Caenorhabditis elegans: one gene and its partners. The protein of the gene in region 2 purifies or fractionates together with the protein of the main gene of each other region. This does not show direct contact. Each region holds a gene or a part of one and is shown on either strand. Other genes may lie near its edges.

Region 1 (3,760 bases), on a different chromosome or scaffold from region 2:
CCAGAATAACTTTACTTTTCTGAATCTACTTTTTTCCAGCTTATCGAAATCTCATCCCACCGCTTTTATTTTTCCCGTTCGACTTCATTGGCACAGCAGATTCGTAGAATTCTTGCAAATTTATCATTGAGAAGTTCTTTGGACAAATCAGAAGAAAGTCAAAGAATTCAAATAATACGATTGATTTCATTTCATCGAGGGTTAAAGTTACGACGGCTTTATGATCCAGAATTCAATGTAGTAGTTGATGATGCGGATCTATTGGCAATGATGAAGCTGTATCAAGAATTGAGAAATTTGAGTGATCAGCCGAATGAATTTCAAGATTTAATGAAAGTTAAAGTAAACGTTATTGAACCAATATACTTCCCAAAAACAAGATGCCAGGTTCAAAAGAATATAATCAGCGCGATGATTCAATGGATTGTTGAAGCTAATTTATCAATTCCAGCAGATACTCTTTTGAAAACTATCATTAAAGAAGATAATCATAACTTTGTAAGTTCAAACTTTTTTAGAACCTTTATCTAAGGCTTACACGCAAAAAAGTGTTTTCGGTATACGATGCAGGACTAACTAATTGTAAGAAGACGTTTGTGCCTGCCTCGTACCCGCACGAACGATACACGTGCATACTGGTGGCCTATATAGCCCAATAACTTAGTACAAAATAAAATTTCGGTTCCTTTGAGTCTCGAGACCTATAGGTAGTTACAATGCCTATAGGCATGTGGATAGGCATGAAATAAATACCCTAAACATCAGTATTTTATAAAAATTATTTCAGGAAGATTTCGCGCATTTCATGCAATCTCATGAAGAAAGTATCCTTTGTGGATTCAATGCTCGAAACTCTAGAGAATGTCGTGAACTGATGTACAAGAAAGTAACACAAAAAATAAAAATACTTTTTGAGCCGAATATTGGAGCAACTCAGCAAATCGCTAAGAAGATTGAGTTGGTAACATGAATAATTCCGCTTTAAAATTTAGATTTTAAGATCAAGAAGTTGGCTATTAGATGTGGAAAATGGCGAACGAGAAGTTGATGGAAGAAAAATAAACAATCTCACCGAAATTGTTTCTTTTTTGAAAATGCAATTTTGTTTGAAATATAAGATTGGAATTTCAGAAGTGAGCCGATTTTCTGCTTAGATTTTCTAATATCCATTAATATTTCCAGGTGATGGTGACCGGCGAATTTGTGAATGAACACTATGATCTTCCCAAACTAGGATCAGATTCCGACGTTCCTTTGCTGAAAATGTCGCATTGCGTTCTGATTTCAGCTCATTTTGTGAATGGAGAAATTCGAGTACATAGAACTACTTAAACAAGACTAGAGCAATTAATTTAATTTTCAGGAACCTCAAAATCGTCAAGCCCAATATACAACTGTACTTCTGAAGACCACAAAAAGAACCGGAGCAGGGAACCCAAGAAGCTTGCCAGTTATTTGTCCATTTTCACAGAACGCAGTGACTCAAATACCATTTCATTCACAATTTCCAATAGCTCATTGGCATCTTCGTGGCGCATTTGTAACAACTTCCAGACAGATTTGAATTTTATAAAGAATGAATTCGTGGTTCTTTTGTAATATTAAAAGTGTTTTTTTTCCAAAACATGATTATTTTTTCTCCGTAAATATTACAGCTACCGTAGTCGGGCGTTTGGTCTCGCCACGTAAATGCCGCTCTTCAACATATTTGAATATAAACGTTGTTTTTCTTTTGCATTATCTTTTTCGTTTCGTACGGCACTGATTTTTTATAAAATACAAACTTTGTAAAACAGAAAATAAAAAAGAAAACTCATTTTATCTCCGAAAACTTGTTGCTCGTCTTTGTCTTGTCTCACTTTAAAATTTACTGCCCCGCGCAATTGACGTGTCCGTTAGAGCGCGCTTGCATTATTTTTTTAGTTTCAAAAAAAATCGTTTCTCGTTCTTAACAAAATCGTGTTTTTCTTTTTACGTTCCGCAACTAATATGTTTAACAAGTTTCTATATTTTCAGAATGCTCAAACAACTATTGGCTTTGACTTGCATGCACAAAAAAGATAAAAATAAGCTTGCAATAACTGCTGGAACCGCAGAATGTTCGAACAGATCTCCTCAAAATTCACCGGGATCTTCCTCTGAAGGCGCTGCAGACGAATCTCTAAATCAGAGTGTTGCTATTCCGGTTATAATGCCAATTATTTTCTCATTTAAAATATTATTTTTCAGGAAGAAGCTCATCTGAACACTTCACAGTTTATTTCACTTCCCCTCTCCGACGTCTCATTTGAAGCCGCTGCATCTCAAAATCGAGCTACACCGATTGATTTTGGTACACGAGAAGTGAAAGAAGATGACGATGTTCTCAGTAAGTTGGAGCTAATCGTTCATTTTTAATGTTCCATTTAAGGTGACACTGGTCGTCGTCGAAGCGTTAACTTAATAACGCCTTCTCCTATTCCAGAAGAAACCGAGGATAACTTAACAGAAACGCCTATTCCTGTAGTTGAACACATTCCAAGAAGTGCAATTTTTGAACCTTTCAATCACGAAAATTCTCCTTTGTTCTCCGTGAAGGCACGTAAGGTATGCACGTTGTAATTTAAAACGTCGGCGTGTAGATTTAATCGATAAAAAACGAATCATTTCTCGTTTTCAATCTACTCGTCGTAATGAAATTCGAACAAATAATGGAGTTCTTCAAGAGAAAATTTCAGAAAGCTCATGAATACCGCTCCAACGATTCAACTCTCAGTCCTTCATCATCTTCCAACAATGACGACAGTATCCGGATTGACGTAAGCATCAAAATGATTAAATCATTTTTTTTAGTTTAAAATTTACAGAGTATCCGTGTCCGTTCATCAAAATCTGCAACGAATAATCAACTGAAAGGACGGCTTACACCAATACTAGGAGGGTCCCTTCGCCCGATTCCAAAAAAGTAAAACTCTTTCAATAAGTTCTGATAATTTAATTTCATTTTTAGAAGGAACCGAGTCGCTTTCAACGGAAATTCTACATTTGTCGCACCGGAGAGACTATGCTTGGAAGTTGATAAAATACATCAAGATCGTTGTAGGTTTTCCTTTGTACTAACATTATGTGTTCCTTATGCATGATGTTTATTTGATTAAGACGCACCGAAAACGGGAAGCTTAAAGTGTTGACAAATGTTAATAATGGGTTGAGGTTGGGGGAAGTGGGCAAAAGTAGCCACTCTACATGTATCGTAATCTGTACTATTGGATAATCGGGGTTGACCTCTTTATATTTTGTATTTTTATGCGATATGCAATTGTCCAACTCTTTTTAACTGCTGTGTATTGCTTACCATTGTTTTCGAGGCTTATGTTTCTATTAAATTTACATCTAGCCCCATCGACGTCAGGTGTGTGTTTATGCACTTTTATCTCAGAAGGGAACGTCGTAGATTCTTCTATCTCTTAATATCTGCTGGTCATTTCTCGATTCATCGGCTGTCGTGGTCATTTATCAGAGCTTGTCAGTCTATTGTCCCGGTCACTCGAGTTGTCTGCTCCTCCTTTCTGTGCTCACGGACCTCCTATAAACTCATAGATCTCACCTTTCCTCGTCTCAATGTTTCTATTGTCTTCTTCAATTTCTTGCATTTTTCAATTTGCAAACCTTCCTGCATGCTTTCATGCTTTCGGTAAAATTCGAAAAGTTAGATTTTTTTAAAGATGACTTCCTAGAAAATAAGTTGAAACTAAACAAAATAGTTTGGCCAATTTCAAAT
Region 2 (3,760 bases):
AATACACGTAGAAACTTGTAAAGCTCTCCAGTAAGCTCTTCATATGGTATACTAACAAATGATCCCATTGATATGGATGATGTTAAAGCTATAAAAATTAAATGTTTTAAAAAAGAAACCAAATTAATTTGTTAAACCTGTTAAAACCATCTCAAAATCTCCATAAATTGGACTGAAACAACTAACAATGTCGCGAAAATCGGAGTATGGTTCTTGAAGTGGTAACTACAAGAAAAAATGGATTGGGGATTTCTGATTTGAACTTACTTCTAAATATGGATGTCCTGTGTGATCTCGTAAAAGCAATGACTTTGGATGTTCTGCATTCACAGTTAAAGACTGGGGTTTTTCCTTTTCAATTGATGACCAAATCTTAACATTTAGTTTTCACATTATGAATCTCCCACAATAATTAATTAAGCCTTAAGATTACCAATTGTACTTTACAAACGAGGGAATGGAAACGTTGGAAAATACTTTGAATAGGATTTGCCCAAGCTTTGATCCAGCTTTTGCTTATGTCTTTTCATATATGAAAATTAAAACAGGAAAATGTTTGCTCAGTCTTGGTTGTTAAATAATGGAAAAAATAGGTGAAAAATGGAAAAATGGAATGGAAAATAGATGACTAATCTTACTTTAGAATTGGAATAACTATATGCTTGCCCAAAACATTTTCAAACATTACCAAATTCTGAGCATAGTTTATAGTTTTGTGCCAAAATGTGAAAAGACGTTGCCAACAAAGGCCTAGTAGTTTTAAAGCACGCTAATTGTTTGAAGATAGTTTTTTTTTGCTAATTTAATAGCGAGAAAATCTTATAAAACAAGTTGAATTAATCCAAATTATTGATTTAAAAATTAGATATTAATTTGATGCATAAAAGGGATTTGTTAAAAAAACACTCCAATCGTGCCAAAATGAGAAAACATCCTAATAAAAGTTTTCGACAATTTTTGGGAACTTTTTTGACAGTCAAAATGTGGGTGGTAATTACTGAAGTACTGTCGCATTTCGAATCTCTACAATGTTTGAATATTAATATTTGAAATACAAGATAACTAGATACTCTGATGTAAGCCCGGCCCAATTATCAATTTTTCAACACTTCATATCAAGTTTTTTTGAAAAAAAATCCTAAACTTACTGAAATTTGTGAGTTATCAACAAATCCGGGTGGTGGTTTAAGCTCAATTTGAGTTTCATTTCTTGATGTTTTTGAGTCATTTGGACCAAATCCAAGGAATATTTCCCGTCGACGAATTGAAGAATCAAATAGAAAGATTAATGACAGTTCGTTTGAATTTGAATCATAAATTGCTGATGTAACTTGAACATTTTCAGGTTTTCCACCATAACGTTCGTGATAAAATATAGTGAAAACAAAGAAATAAAAAATAATAACGCATAGAAAATAGTTAAGTGTATGAAGTGGAATTGAGAAGCATTTTTCGTGATATCGAATATTTTGATGCCGTGGTAATTTTTCGAATGGGCTCTGAGAAGGTGGCATTGATGATGATGATGACGTGGCAGAAAACATTTTGAATTGAGATTTAGTGAACAAGAAGAGTGAGTGAGAGAGGGAGAGATGGTAAGGATGCAAAGAAATGTACGGAAAATTAGACAAAAGATGAAACTGAAGATAAAAATGAGGAAGATGCCGAAGTCGAATCTAGGTGTCTTTGGAGGTATCTAGAACAGAAATCTGTAATTCAGTGGGAGACTTGAGGAATTTCAAGTTTTTAAAAAAATTGGAAACCAATGTATCAGAATCTCTCATAGCGGGGAAAATGTGTATTTTTGTTTAAAATATAGTATCTGATACTGTTTCAAACTCATGTAGTACTTGCAATAAATATGGCATACAATTTATGTTTAAACGAGGTTATAAAGTTCTAAACATGTGGCCGCTGTATTAACAACAGATTTAAAATGCAACATGTTCCTTCAACAGAATAATACCAAAACAAATTGAAAAACATATTAATAAGATAATAAATTTCACTCTGGCTAAAATATTTGATAATTAGGTAAAAAAACCGAAAATAATCAGATGGAATTATCGACAAAAAACGCCGAACTTTGTTAATTTTTTTAGTATTTTCAGAAAAAAACTCAAAGTGAGAACGGAATAAAGAAAACAACTGTTTATAAATATAAAAAAACGGGTCCTCAAGTATCAGCATTTTTATAATTAATTATGAAGGTTTTTAGGCATGTTTTGAATGAATGACTCATCAAGGCCACTTTTTATTTTGCGATATAAATTTCCTAAGAAAAAAGCCATGTGATTAATAATGTTATGATATAAAATCAAATAGTGTCATTCTTCAATATTGGAACAGTTTTTGGAATACCTCCGAGTTAGGAATGTCTTTGTCTGTTCACTTTGTCAAAATGACCTTCTATTCTGGCCCCTATTCTTTTCTTCACCCAACTTCCGTTTGAAGTTATCTAGGTGTTCAAAGATTTTGTTCGTTTCCTACATGAGATGTAAAACACTATATTATGCTGTTTTACTTTATCCTTCAAATTTTAGTTTTATTTTGATGTAATCTTATACGTTTTTCTTCCAGATGTTTGACATTTGAACTTGAAACCAGTAAATCCCAACTATCATAATGTAAAATCTTCAAGAATCCTGAACTTTTCTCCATTAGTATTATTGTAGTTTTGATAGTCAACGATATTTATACCAGTTTTCCTCCGTTCCATTTCATCACGTCATTTCCATTATCTCCCACTTGTTTCTTTCATTGTCTCTTCAAATCAAACACTATTTGAAATTGGGTGCTACCATTCCACCCACCCACGATCAAAAATACCTCAAAAAAAGTTTCTGTGCGTACGGAATAAAAACAAATAAAAATTGTTCCCACCGAGATGAGTCAAGTGAGCCTGAGACCATCGTTCTGTTGTTTTTTGGGACAAAGCCGGTTCGAACCAAAACTCATCGCATATCGTATTTCAATTCCCCGTTTCGGATCGTTGATCCCCTAATTTTTATGACGTGTGCTCTTCCTACAGTCTTCTGCTCAAACGCTTGATTTTTTGATTTTCTAGTGAAACCAGAAATTAGGGTCTCCATGAGTTATAACTCTTGAAATTTATGCAACATGTAATTTTCTCGTCAAAAACTACCAAGAGCCGTATTCATAAAATATCAAAAAAAAAAACTTCGATAATTTATTTTCATATTTATTACTTTCAAATGAGAGTTGTTCGGCAAGCCTGCAGAGCTTTTGCCGAGTTCCCAAAATGTTAAAATAGTTTTCCTATCAAAAATGTTTCGGTTTCAGTTTAAGACTTTAAGAAAAATACCATAAAGTTGTTATTTTTAAAAAATTTTCAGAGAAAACTACACGCTCGGAACGTTTACATTACCTTTATTGTAAAAGAAAAACGTAGGAGTTTAAAACACCACTGAATCGATGAAGATGAGTATTTATTTTTTGTAATTTTGAACTGAAAAAAATAAAGTTTTGGTCAAAGACACAAGGGAATCAGAAATGAATCTTCCAGGCGGTACCAATTATAGAGACTAATTATTTTTCCAGTATTCACATATCAGTATATTCAATAAACTTTACTCTTTATTTCAATTGATTGTTGTTTTTGCTCTCAATGGTTTCCTTTCACTTGGCTTGTCTTCTCAACACAATGTTCATTGTTTATTTGTTTGCGAAACTTTTAAACCAAAGCTTGCAACGAAAAGTGGAAAAAAGAAGAAGTAAAATGAATCCGCGAAAGACCTCC
Region 3 (2,848 bases), on a different chromosome or scaffold from region 2:
TTCTACCATTGAAAACAAAATCTCTGGAGCTCGATACCAACGTGTTGATACATATTGCTGCACAAAATTAATTGAAATGTCATTATTTCAAGAAGTTAGCTTACTGTCATATGTCCTCCAACATTAGCGTCATCTCTTACTGTACTCGCAGAAGCATAAGCTCTTGCCATGCCAAAATCGGCGATTCTCAGTAGACAATCTCCATTTAAAAGTAGATTTGATGGTTTTAAGTCTCTATGAATAATTCCAGCAGAGTGAAGGTACTGAAAGTAAACTTTTATTTTGCACAGCAACTGCCATCTGCGCTATGCTACACAATCTCTTCACTTCATACTCTCGCTTTTTCATCTACACCCTTTTTTCTCACAGGTTCTCTGACATGTGTGGCCGAGTGGTTAGCGTGCGCGCTCTACGAATTGAGTGCGTTAGTTCAACCCGCTCGCAGTCGAGGAGGAAAGTTTCCATGCACCACTCTGAAGGATAGTGTGGATTATGGTTCACAATTTACTGAGGCTGTTTTGCTTTTTTTTCTTAATTTCCAGTTTTTAATTCATAAAAATTTACCTTCAATCCTCGAAGTAATTGATAGAAAAAGTATTGAAAATGTTGTTCCATGAGAGTCTGTCTTGAGTGGAGAATCTGATGAAGATCAGTTTCCATGAGATCCATAACTAGATAAATGTCCTTTCCATGAGCGCCCTCTGCAGTGAACATGTCTAACACAGCGATGATGTTCTCATGGAGCAGCTCACGAAGAATTCGAACTTCTCTCAATGATCGTTTGGCCAAAGTGTGTGCAGTGAAGGCTCGTGGGATTTTCTTGATTGCCACTTGTTTCTTATTTCTCTGTAATTGATTTTTCACAAGTTTTTAATTGTTTTTCAAAGTTTAAAGGAACATACCGTATCCATTGCTTTGCAAACCACACCATAAGCACCTGCTCCAACATTTTCCTCTGCCAAATACGGTGTTCCTTCTAACCAAAACCGACCGTCTAATCGAGCATGTGACTCTGCAGGAGCCGCCATTTTACTCTGAAATATTGATTTTTAATTAAACAATTTCTATCATAATCCACGAATAAATATGTTGTGTGGGAAAATACTATTACCTTATTGACAGTGTTTTTAGAAATTGAATATGTTTTGTGCTCTATAATATTGGTGGAATAATAATTAGGTGCTCTATAGAGCGTAGTTCTCGCACTCATTTTAATTTTGAAAAAAAAAGAAGTTTAAAATTATATTTTGTACCCTCTAATCCTTAGTTTTATATGAACAGAAAAAAGGTGTGGCATGTCAATTACAAGGTTATCAAATATTTGTTTTTGATATGAAAATTTCAAGAATGTTTCGTGCTAATTCGCACAAAGCACGTCGAAAATAGGAAAAAAGGTGCATACGTTTTCAGAAATGACGGGTTGATGACGATAAAGCTTCAACAGTACGTCTTATCACCATTTTTTCCCTTTCGGCTCCTCTCTCTCTCACGTTATCAGATTGAGAAAAAACGAGAGTTGGGGGTGGAGGGAAGCAGGAGGATGTCCTGTTTTTTTTCTGAAAAAAAAAAACATATTTTGTGATGTGGTTTTTAAAATATACACAGAAGTAGGCAAATTAAAACTGAGAAAAAATAATTGAAAAATTGTTCAGCTTCAAATAAAAAAACTGAATAAAATTTATATTATACTGGAGTTAGCTTATTTCAATTTCAGTGGAAGTACTTCATCTTCATTTTTTTGCTTAAACTTTTCAGATGACAAAAAATGATGTCATTGCACTGATTAAAAATTTTAAAGACGATTATTAAATGGGTCAAAGGAATTTGTAGGTGACAATTATGAAAAGTGAATTATCAGTCAACTTGAAGTGTGTTTTATGTGCGGTTTTTTGATTTTTAGCAAGATAAATTAAAATCAACTCGAAATAAGATTTTTCAGACGTTTCAAGAATTTGAAAAACAACTTTTTTCAATCCGTATTCTGATTTTCAAATTCCTTCAAAAAGTAACTGTATAACTGATAGTTTTAAAAAGTTTCAAAATTTTAGCTCTCACGAAAAACTGAATCGAAAAATCTTAGATATTCAGGAAAGAATAATATTTATCCACAATTAGCGAAGGAAATCGATAAGATCAGTGAAAAAAATAGAGGAAGAAAAAGAGAGATAGGAAGTGATGAAGAGAGTGTTAGAAATGAAAGAGACTGTCTGAAGAAATCAAGAAGACGTCTTCTTTCAATCAAGTTTTTCGTTTTTTTTTTCTGTCTTTTACCATTTTTTCTATCATCTTCTATCTTTTTCCTCTATCTCTTCTATCTTACTGTTGGAAAATGAATGAATGGTAGGCGATGATGAAGATGTAGATTTCGGATGATTTACACTGTGACTCATTTATTCAAACCGATCATAAAAGTTGGAGATTTTTTAGCATTAAAAAGATTTTAGGAATTAAAAAGGAAAAATGTGTTAATTATTTGAGAGCTATGAAAATTACTTTTCTGTCCTAAACCTACGTCTTCTTTGTTAAGTTACAGTATTCTTTCTGGGAAATTTTCAACAACTTGAAGGCAAAAGTTATTGTCTTTAATAATAATATAGTCTTTTATTTAATGTTCGGCTATTCCTCTTTCACATTAAAATTTCTCAATCTAATTCAAATTCTTTCGTGTTTTTTTTTAATTAAGTAGTTATCTTGTTAATTATTTGAAACACCTGTTACAAAATTGTGCAAGTCTGTTTCTAAATATTTTTAAAACAAAGTGATTGAAAGTTTAAAATATTAAACCAAGGAAAAAGTGTGTAGACATGAACTACTCTTGATCTTTTCTTTGTCAATTTTTGCGCAAAAA

The links.
Region 1: the proteins of gtnt-44 (region 2) and noca-1 fractionate together in Caenorhabditis elegans (co-fractionation; one large-scale study listed by BioGRID). This does not show direct contact.
Region 3: the proteins of gtnt-44 (region 2) and C04G6.11 fractionate together in Caenorhabditis elegans (co-fractionation; one large-scale study listed by BioGRID). This does not show direct contact.

Annotation. Positions count from the first base shown.
Region 1 is NC_003283.11:13,150,903-13,154,662, forward strand, and holds the start of noca-1 (Non-centrosomal microtubule array protein 1), read left to right. Parts: upstream 1-2,016; 5' UTR 2,017-2,017; coding exon 2,018-2,185; intron 2,186-2,229; coding exon 2,230-2,368; intron 2,369-2,410; coding exon 2,411-2,586; intron 2,587-2,717; coding exon 2,718-2,798; intron 2,799-2,846; coding exon 2,847-2,944; intron 2,945-2,989; coding exon 2,990-3,078; coding exon of another isoform or gene 3,079-3,122; intron 3,123-3,760. Other genes in the region: dhc-3 (Dynein Heavy Chain), read left to right, coding at 40-498, 788-957, 1,001-1,133, 1,183-1,314, 1,364-1,564. UniProt on the Caenorhabditis elegans protein: Plays a role in the assembly of microtubule arrays in the germline acting redundantly with ptrn-1 to control circumferential microtubule assembly along the body which is necessary for larval development, viability, and morphology and integrity of the epidermis.
Region 2 is NC_003282.8:9,962,088-9,965,847, reverse strand, and holds the start of gtnt-44 (Glycosyltransferase family 92 protein), read right to left. Parts: upstream 1,604-3,760; 5' UTR 1,545-1,603; coding exon 1,149-1,544; intron 373-1,148; coding exon 268-372; intron 226-267; coding exon 138-225; intron 89-137; coding exon 1-88.
Region 3 is NC_003280.10:5,102,826-5,105,673, reverse strand, and holds C04G6.11 (uncharacterized protein), read left to right. Parts: upstream 1-1,839; coding exon 1,840-1,884; intron 1,885-1,939; coding exon 1,940-2,005; intron 2,006-2,048; coding exon 2,049-2,333; downstream 2,334-2,848. Other genes in the region: mpk-2 (Mitogen-activated protein kinase), read right to left, coding at 1-57, 105-263, 565-846, 903-1,034, 1,112-1,210.